3 linked regions of the Saccharomyces cerevisiae S288C genome follow. Changing the gene in region 1 together with any one later gene gives a genetic interaction. Each region holds a gene or a part of one and is shown on either strand. Other genes may lie near its edges. The genes, in order: YGR054W, YBR062C and UGA4.

Region 1 (3,762 bases):
GCATGGAACAAAGATAGCTCGATGGACAGCTGCTTCTCGTACCAAAATAAGATTGATCTGTTTTGGGAACAGTGGTCTGTGAACACGGAAACAGTACCAGCAAAGTTCCAATTGAAAAATTTTGAGAAACCTTGCCTAATTCAAGATGGAAAATAAGAAGTAAAAAAGACCTTTTGAAAGTTTCGCCTCATTTTCCTTGATCTGACTTTTTATCCCCTGCTTATCCAATTTTAGTTAGGAACTTTGGCATAATTTCAGTATTACATACTACCTAATCGACATAAAATAATATTACATATTCATTTTTTTAAAAAATAATCATAATCAATTTATCCTTTTTATTCCTTTTTTCTCCTGTGCAAGGTTGATGGTGATGTTTATGATGGTGTGTTTATTATTTACAAATAAAGATGCTATCTAATTCTTGTATATCGTATTAACATGCAAATGCACCGCGAGTGGCAATTTTCTTCTCGTAATGGATCAGTTCAACATCTTCAATGGTATGAACCAGAATTTTCGAATTTTCTTCGTTAAATTCGAATATGAATGTTCCCTTAATCAGCCGGGATAATCTCTTTTTTTTACTTCTTTTACCGTCGCCATCATTTTTCTTCTTCTCATCTTCTTTGGAATTTTGAGTTTCGTTGACCTTATTTTCCATTGACCTTTCAGCTGCATTTTCAAGGTACTCAGAGATAACACTTTGGTTCAAATTATTGGCTGTAGGATGTAAAATGTAGTCTATGACTGGTACCGACCTCATTGAAAATGAACCGCCTGCACCATTGCCTCGTTTCTCCTCTTTCAATCTGTCATTAATTTCTAATTTGGTAATCTTGCAATGGTCTTCCGGTATGCAGCTTTGCCATTTGATCACCAATTTGTCATTACATGTTATGGTATTATAACTCTGAAGAGCAGATTTAACTTCTTCATCATGCGATGTCGATGTTAGAGTCTTTACTGAACTTATATGCAAGCGACATTCATCGCCCAAGATAAACTTTCGTACTATCATTCGCATTGCATTCAAAGAAGCCATGTATTTTGATTTTCCATGTAACACTGGAATATATGGATGCGATGTTGGAAATAGTCTAAAAACAACGTTATCCGCCAACACTGACTCCTTGAACATTTTTTGTAACAAATTGGGAACACCTTTAACCACTAAATAATCTGTTATTTGCCCCAAATTGGCCACTTTTTGAGAATTGGAGTACCATCGAGGAAAGATTCCTTTGATAGATATTATGCCGGCTCTGCAAACACACTTTAGTAACATAAGTCTTTCCCCCTATTATCTATGAATATAAACTGTCTATCTTTCCTTGGTTGTGATGTATCGTTTTCCGTAGAGGCTTGCAGCTTTATGGCTCATACCTGTCATCCCTCTTTATGGGCCTTTTAAGGGCGCTCTCTACATTGTATTCTATTCATTTTTTTCGTAACCGTAACTACGCGCCTTCTTAACGCAAGGCGCTCGACTCATCATGAGATGCGTATGAATGTCTTTCAGTGTATAGAAATACATCTCACCAAATCTATTTATTTAACTAATATTTCTTTTAATATTTTCCTCAAGAAACTCAGGCAGTTAATGTTGTGTCCTATTTTTTTTAGTTCTTTCCCATTTTTATAGCACTCGTACAAAAGAAATCGAAATATTTCAATATGTTTAGACTCGGTTCTATGTGTTAAAACTGCAAGATGAAAAAGTAACATCTATCTTAGATTAAGGTCCTTTCTTTATATTCTTTACTTTATTAGTGAGCAGAAATATTATTAAAAATTGCCGCTGTCATACTGTACGATATTATTACCCGACCGCAGAATGTTCCTCAATACTTTCTTTTTCTTCCTTTTTTTCACTTCGCTTTCTTCATGTCCATCAATGAAATTTCAGCTTCATAGCGATTTATTTTCAGTGTACGTTATTCAATGAAGATTCCTTTTCCTCGATCTATCCAGACGACTAGACATAGCGAGAATTCTTTACGGTAGAAGCAACCTATAGATTACCGAATCATAACTTTCTTTAGTGTTGATTGAGACGTGTTGTGTTTAAACTATCCATTGCATCTCGATAAAAAAACATAGTACTACAACAAACAGTCAGGTTCAATAACACCTAAACATTATGTCATCTCAGTTTTTCCTGAAAACCTCTCAGGATATAGAGCTCTTCCAAAGCTACCCAACTTTTGAGCAATCCAACACAAACTCCAAGGATTTCCCTGTCATTTCCTCGGTTTTATCGCCATGTGGCAGATTTTTGGCTTTATCTACGAAGGAGAACGTCAAAGTTTTTACAGGTCCATGTTTGGATAACGTTCTATTAACAATGAAGTTGTCCGACGTCTATGACCTACACTTCTCTCCAGCAGGTAACTACTTAAGCACTTGGGAGAGAGCGTCTATACAAGACCCAAATCACAAGAACGTTAAAGTTTGGTATTTGAATAAACCATTTAAGAAAGATTGCGTTTCGGAGGATATAGTCCCTGCTTACGAATATCAAGCCAAATCCCAAAGCGGTTGGTTTTTACAATTCTCCAAATTAGACAATTATGGGCTAAGACTTTTTAAACACGACTTGAAGATTGTTAAATTAAGCTCCGCTAATGCCGACAATTTCGACTTCCAATCTCCGTTTGCTGTCTTGTCTGATGATGAAACGTCCCAACATTTCACCACCTACCTAATCTCTCCAGCTGAACATCCAACAATTTGTACTTTCACACCAGAAAAGGGTGGTAAACCGGCTCAATTAATCATATGGGCCCTCTCTGAAGGTAAAATCACCAAGAAAATTGCCTCCAAAACTTTCTTTAAAGCTGATTCCTGCCAATTGAAATGGAATCCATTAGGTAATGCTATTTTATGTTTAGCTATTACTGATTTTGATTCCTCAAACAAATCATATTATGGTGAAAACACACTATACTTACTGTCTTTCCAAGGTGTCAACGGGACTTTGGGTGGTAACTCTGTACGTGTTTCTTTAACCACTGGACCTGTCCACGATTTCACTTGGTCGCCAACTTCAAGGCAATTCGGTGTCATCGCTGGTTACATGCCAGCAACCATTTCCTTTTTTGACTTAAGAGGTAATGTTGTCCATTCATTACCTCAACAAGCCAAAAATACCATGCTTTTCTCTCCCTCTGGTCATTACATTCTTATCGCCGGGTTTGGTAATTTACAGGGCTCCGTGGAAATCCTAGATCGTCTCGACAAATTCAAGTGTGTGAGTAAATTTGACGCTACCAACACTTCTGTCTGCAAATGGTCACCGGGTGGAGAATTTATCATGACAGCTACCACTTCACCAAGATTGAGAGTGGATAACGGCGTTAAAATATGGCATGTATCAGGCTCTTTAGTATTTGTTAAAGAGTTCAAGGAGCTTTTGAAGGTAGACTGGAGGTCACCATGTAATTACAAAACTTTGGAAAACAAAGACGAAGCATTTTTCGAGAACCATATCATTAATAACTGGGAACCGCTACCTGATTCGACCACATCTTCACTTGATCCTAAAATATCCAATAAATCAGAATTGCAAATACATTCTAGCGTTCAAGAGTACATAAGTCAACACCCAAGCAGAGAAGCAAGCTCCAATGGAAACGGATCTAAGGCCAAAGCTGGAGGCGCTTATAAACCACCTCACGCAAGAAGAACAGGCGGTGGACGTATTGTCCCCGGAGTTCCTCCTGGTGCAGCAAAGAAGACCATCCCAGGGCTAGTTCCGGG
Region 2 (2,793 bases), on another chromosome or scaffold:
AGGTACATGATATATTGACTGATTTCTGATAGCTCTTTTTTTTCCAATATCGATAAAAAACTAAAATATGGAGGAACTAGGTTTAAAAAGCACTTTTCCATATGAATATGGCTCAGACTTTACAATGATAAGAACGGAAATGTTAAATACTACGAAGAGCGAAACAACTATTTTATTTTCCAATATAAAGAGCATTTTGGCCATTATTTGGAAATACTCATTTACATTTTTAAGATCTTTTTCCGATTCCATCAAACTTATTATTGACGATGTTGTCACTATTGGCTCCCGAAATTTTGCAGAGAGATTACAGATTGAAGCGAAAAAAAACAATGACCAAGAAGATATCTGGGCATCCACAATAATTTTGGGTGTGATTATCGGGTATTTAATCTCTTCTATTAAGAGAAAGAACACTTTTCCAATAATGCCTACGAGCTCACCTAAAATAGATGATTGTAGGTTCAAGACTGGTGATACCATATCCATTGTAATAAACTTTAATGAAGACTGCCTCAATAATCGAAGTGACGTTACCGAAGAGAGAAATTATGAGGAATCCACAGTTTTACATTCAAAGGAGTCAGTTCTCAGCATTGGTAGGCAAAATATGGTAACTTTGAACCAAAGCGATGAAAATTTCACCTATGGCAATTTTGATGAGTACGACTTATTAACTAAAGATTATACAACAGAGGTCTTAACGCGATCACCTGGCTCGAATCCCGAGTTTAAAGCAGTGGTAAATAATACATTACTTGATAGCGCGAATGAAACGCCGTTTAAAGGTATTGAAAAAAGTATTAACGAAACAATGGTTAAAGTTCCTATGGGATGCGATGTATCTCTCTCCCATTATGGCAGACAATACGCGCCTGGAAATATTTCAATTATGAGAAGCTTCACTGCTCGAGATAATACTAAATCTGTGAGTAGAGAAATTCGTGATATCTGTAAATCGTTTTTGATTATAAAAAGCCAATTTGGTGACGAACTTTTCCTGACTATGTTCATGGAAAAACCAGTTTTCTTTGATAACAACATCCCAATTGAAATAACTGGAGCATACCGAGAAAAACGAGAGCGATTAGATGAAGTGATTCATAAGGATCTTATCCGCTATGATGAAGTTCAAAATTTGACAAGGATTCGCAATTTGCTCCGGGTTAAAAGTCAAAAGATTTGTTCCAGGAGACATAATAGTTCGGTTCCCACAAAAAAATTGTTAGTTAATGATAAAGGCGCAACTTCGATTCTACTGTGGTACTCTAACTATTCATAGATAAAGTTTATTTGATACATAATCCGGAAAATGTAAGATATGCCAACTGTTAACTAGAAAACATCTGTACTCTATATATCGGAAACAAAAACTTTACGGGTACAACCATGATGAATAAGCTCGAAATTTTTGCCTTCCATATGAGTCCCATTTTGGTGACCAACTCTCCTACCCGAATTACTGTGATGATATATACTCTTCGTTTTCTAGTAATGGCTTCATTTTGCCTAAGTTGGTCAAAATTGTTGTGGGCGGCTTTTGTTTGCACCGAGGAGCGCTCAGTTCGTTATAATACCAGTTTTGCCACTCCTAAACTACTAAAGAAATAATAGAAAGATATATTCATCAAACATAATCACAATCAAAAAAATGTCTACATATGAAGGTATGTAATGATATATTATGAAGTAAGTTCCCCAAAGCCAATTAACTAACCGAATTTTAATCTGCACTCATCATTAGATTAGAGGAACATGGAATACAACAAAACTCAAGGGATTACCAAGAAGTAGGAGGAACTTCACAGGAGGAGCAGAGAAGACAGGTCAGATCCCAACTGCAAGGTCTATTTCAAAACTTTGGTAACACCAGTGGTGAGGGTGATGCACATTCAGATTCAACACTACTTTTACGATTATTATCGCAAATGCTTCCAGAATCATTACAGGAAGAATGGTTGCAAGAAATGGATAAAGGCAAGAGTGCGGGCTGTCCTGATACTTTTGCAGCCTCTTTACCACGAATCAATAAAAAAAAGCTCAAAGCAACTGACAACTGCTCCATTTGTTACACTAATTATTTAGAAGATGAGTACCCCTTAGTAGTTGAATTACCTCATTGCCATCATAAGTTCGACTTAGAGTGTTTGTCTGTCTGGCTATCTCGAAGTACAACATGTCCATTATGCAGAGATAATGTTATGGGCCACCGAATCATTAATGAGATTGATACAACTGAAGCAGAACTGGAAGAAGATTGGGGTATGTACGGTTAATATCTTTCTTTTATATTATATAAAGACACCAAACCTAAGTAGAATAGGTAACTACGTCTTCTTTCACAGAAGACAGACCTACAAGTATTTTGATTATCATGATGAAGTAAAAGCAACGATAAACTTTTTACTAGGTATTATTATTCTGCGCTAACAATAATTATCGCGAGTTGAAAATTTTCAAGCGATGCTCCTAACATTACTGTAAAACAACAGTAGATGAGTACAAGGCAAGCTTAAAAAGAAAGTATTCAAGATGGGTAAGAGCAGCAAAGATAAAAGAGATTTGTACTATAGAAAAGCAAAAGAGCAGGGCTATAGGGCTAGATCTGCTTTCAAACTACTTCAACTCAATGACCAATTTCATTTCCTGGATGATCCAAACTTAAAAAGAGTTGTAGATTTGTGTGCAGCACCAGGTTCATGGTCACAAGTGCTCTCGAGAAAACTGTTTGATGAAAGTCCCAGTTCAGATAAGGAGGACAGGAAAATTGTCTCTGTCGATTTACAACCGATG
Region 3 (3,762 bases), on another chromosome or scaffold:
ATATTTTTCTTGCCGTTCTCATTTCCTGCACAGTTTCTTTGATTATGTTTGCAGAAGAATTTCTTTATCGTTTAGTCTAAACAAAGAATTCGTTGTAAAGAATTTGAGAGCGGATCTTGCATTTTTTATTTATCATGCTTATGTTTTTTCTTTGATGTAAGAAGAAGCAAGTAAGATATGTGAATATCTTATCACTAATTCAAATAACTAAGAGAGCTCACAACGACAATTTGTGACAGCATGCGAAGCAAAGAGCAGTGATACCAGTATCTTTCATCCAGTAATAACATACGACTGATGTTATAGTTAAATGTTACATTTTGAGAGACTTCAACCTCTCGAAACCAAGAGGTTGGTTTTAACTCTGGTGACTTCAAGAAGGGTGGGTACCTTTTACAAAGCTTGAGACGAAGCAATAGTCAGTCTCTGTATAACAAGGAGACCACCTCATTTTCCAGTAACTCTTGAGGCATGTCGGATGGTTTGCCTTGAATAAACCGCAGTCATTATAATGAATGGCCTGTACTTTCAAAACAGTCTGGAAACAGAAATCCATTGCTGAGGTACCTTTTAGTAGCACTTTCGTTAGTGAAGGTTTAAGGTTAGTTCTTATTTACTGCACAAGAGTTTACATTTAACCACTCTAATAGTAACTGTTAGAGTGGTTTAACTGTTAGGTGATCTGTTCATTCCATTTTTCGTGTTGTATCTCAAGATGAGATAGCTTAGCGTTGCTACATACATAAATCTAAACATATAAACACCTGTGTAACTCGTTAACGTCTGGGCTTCCATGCTTCTACCATTTAGAATGATGTAGACCATTTATTCCAAGAGGATAAGCACCCTCTGTGATTCAAAATGATAATAAGTGTTGACGACAAGTTACTCTCGCAGAATTGTTGTCAACAGTCTTGTATTAGTTGTTATCCAACGCTCCCGTTTTCAAGTTCACTTAGCGCAAGTGGTTTAGTGGTAAAATCCAACGTTGCCATCGTTGGGCCCCCGGTTCGATTCCGGGCTTGCGCAAGTTTAATTTTTTTTCTTTTTCCACATTGTTTTCCACTTTGCACTCATTTCCAGTGTTTATTGTGAATGACAATTTCTTCAATCATTGAAATGATTGATTTTTTGGGATCTATTTTTCTCTTTAGTGGTTACTGATCAGGCAACTCTATATCATTGTTTAACCGCGGCTTGCGTATCTTATTTTCTTTTTCCTAGGCATCTTACTAAGGTACTCTTATCGCTAATCGCTTATCGCTTATCGTGCGCCAAAAACCGCCGGCGGCAATTTCGAGATGTTTTATGTCATGTTGGATTTTGCAATCTATTACCATGGAGGTGAGGGCCTTCGATGGTCCAATACCGGTGCACGTACCCATGTACGTTTATCGAATAAGGGGAGAACCTACTAATTTTAAGTCGGATAACGCGGCTTGGCACAGTAATCAGTTCCTTCTTTGGGTTAGAATCTTGATGTGAGATTGTGCTCAGTGATAATGATAGCGAATACGGCTTACTCTTGAATAACAAATGCATATATATTAAGAAGTAGTTCAAACGTATTCTGTTGACTGGCATGGTCCTTTCCTTCTTGTTGTGATTATATAAAACAGTATAAGCTGTTTACTTCAGTTGTGAAGTGTAACAAGGTCTTATAATTTATTATTACTAACAATGAGTATGTCAAGCAAAAACGAGAATAAGATATCAGTAGAACAAAGAATATCCACTGATATCGGTCAGGCTTACCAGTTACAAGGCCTTGGGTCTAACCTAAGGTCGATTCGCTCCAAGACTGGTGCCGGTGAAGTGAACTATATCGATGCTGCTAAATCTGTAAATGATAACCAACTGCTTGCAGAGATCGGTTATAAACAAGAATTAAAAAGACAATTTTCAACATTACAAGTTTTCGGTATTGCGTTCTCCATTATGGGTCTATTGCCCTCCATTGCATCTGTGATGGGTGGTGGGCTCGGTGGTGGTCCAGCAACATTAGTGTGGGGTTGGTTCGTTGCTGCGTTTTTCATTTTACTGGTGGGTATTACCATGGCTGAACATGCAAGTTCCATTCCTACCGCTGGTGGTTTGTACTACTGGACGTATTACTATGCTCCAGAAGGTTATAAAGAGATTATTTCTTTTATTATTGGTTGCTCAAACTCCCTAGCGTTGGCAGCCGGTGTGTGTTCCATTGATTACGGTTTGGCTGAGGAAATTGCTGCTGCTGTCACATTAACCAAAGATGGAAATTTTGAAGTAACGAGTGGGAAACTTTACGGTATATTTGCTGGAGCAGTGGTGGTTATGTGTATTTGTACATGTGTTGCTTCTGGGGCCATTGCTCGTCTGCAGACGCTAAGTATATTTGCCAATCTTTTCATTATTGTTTTATTGTTCATTGCGCTACCGATTGGTACCAAGCATAGAATGGGAGGTTTCAATGATGGTGACTTTATATTTGGGAAATATGAAAACTTAAGTGACTGGAATAATGGTTGGCAATTTTGTCTTGCTGGTTTCATGCCTGCTGTCTGGACTATTGGTTCCTTTGATTCATGTGTCCATCAATCTGAAGAAGCCAAAGATGCCAAGAAATCAGTCCCCATTGGTATAATCTCATCTATTGCTGTTTGTTGGATTTTAGGTTGGTTGATTATTATTTGTTTAATGGCCTGTATCAACCCTGATATTGACAGCGTTTTGGACTCCAAGTACGGCTTTGCTTTGGCTCAAATAATTTATGATTCGTTAGGAAAAAAATGGGCCATTGCATTTATGTCATTGATCGCATTCTGTCAATTTCTAATGGGTGCTTCCATTACCACAGCTGTTTCTAGACAAGTTTGGGCATTTTCCCGTGATAACGGTTTGCCCCTATCAAAGTATATTAAAAGAGTGGATTCTAAATACTCGGTCCCTTTTTTCGCTATTTTGGCTGCCTGTGTAGGTTCCTTGATTTTAGGATTGTTATGTTTGATTGATGATGCCGCCACTGATGCATTATTTAGTCTGGCTGTTGCAGGAAACAATTTGGCATGGAGTACCCCTACAGTTTTCCGTTTAACATCAGGTAGAGATTTATTTAGACCTGGTCCATTTTATTTGGGTAAAATCTGGTCTCCAATTGTTGCTTGGACAGGTGTTGCTTTCCAATTGTTCATTATTATTTTGGTTATGTTCCCCTCTCAACAACATGGTATTACTAAATCCACAATGAATTATGCATGCGTTATTGGTCCCGGTATCTGGATCCTTGCAGGTATCTACTACAAAGTTTACAAGAAGAAATACTACCACGGTCCAGCAACCAATTTGTCGGATGATGATTATACTGAAGCCGTTGGTGCTGATGTTATCGACACAATTATGTCCAAACAGGAACCATAAATGTTCAAACCTTTATAAAGATTTTATATTCAGAGTTTATAAGGTCTAGCTTATATAGTCAGTATTTTTAATTTAATTATATTATAGTTTATCCTATCTCACCGTTTTAGCTTGTTTTCTGCGCCCAAACATAAAAATCAAGAAGCGCGGATAATTTATGATCAGCTCAGCGGGAATGTTAATGGCAGATACTTAGAATTTGGTGGAAACGATTTTCTTCTCTAATCCTCATCAGAGGAGAGGTAATCGAGCAAGGGACCACCAAGCTTACCAACAGATGGCTTTGATGAAATATTTTCTCTACTGATATTTTTTTTCACTTTCTTCAATTTTTCTATAAAATCATCACTCTCCATTCCATTATCT

Evidence for each region.
Region 2: mutations in YGR054W (region 1) and YBR062C are lethal when combined (synthetic lethality), as found in Saccharomyces cerevisiae (one study listed by BioGRID).
Region 3: mutations in YGR054W (region 1) and UGA4 are lethal when combined (synthetic lethality), as found in Saccharomyces cerevisiae (one study listed by BioGRID).

The regions. Positions count from the first base shown.
Region 1 is NC_001139.9:594,550-598,311, forward strand, and holds the start of YGR054W (translation initiation factor 2A), read left to right. Parts: upstream 1-2,143; coding exon 2,144-3,762. Other genes in the region: protein kinase FMP48, read left to right, coding at 1-156; MCO32 (Mco32p), read right to left, coding at 437-1,288. UniProt on the Saccharomyces cerevisiae protein: Functions in the early steps of protein synthesis of a small number of specific mRNAs. Acts by directing the binding of methionyl-tRNAi to 40S ribosomal subunits.
Region 2 is NC_001134.8:365,459-368,251, reverse strand, and holds YBR062C (uncharacterized protein), read left to right. Parts: upstream 1-1,651; coding exon 1,652-1,667; intron 1,668-1,749; coding exon 1,750-2,276; downstream 2,277-2,793. Other genes in the region: CNM1 (Cnm1p), read left to right, coding at 68-1,282; tRNA methyltransferase TRM7, read left to right, coding at 2,533-2,793.
Region 3 is NC_001136.10:82,590-86,351, forward strand, and holds UGA4 (Uga4p), read left to right. Parts: upstream 1-1,680; coding exon 1,681-3,396; downstream 3,397-3,762. Other genes in the region: active spliceosome conformation promoter CWC2, read right to left, coding at 3,618-3,762. UniProt on the Saccharomyces cerevisiae protein: Required for high-affinity, high-specificity GABA transport. Also transports putrescine.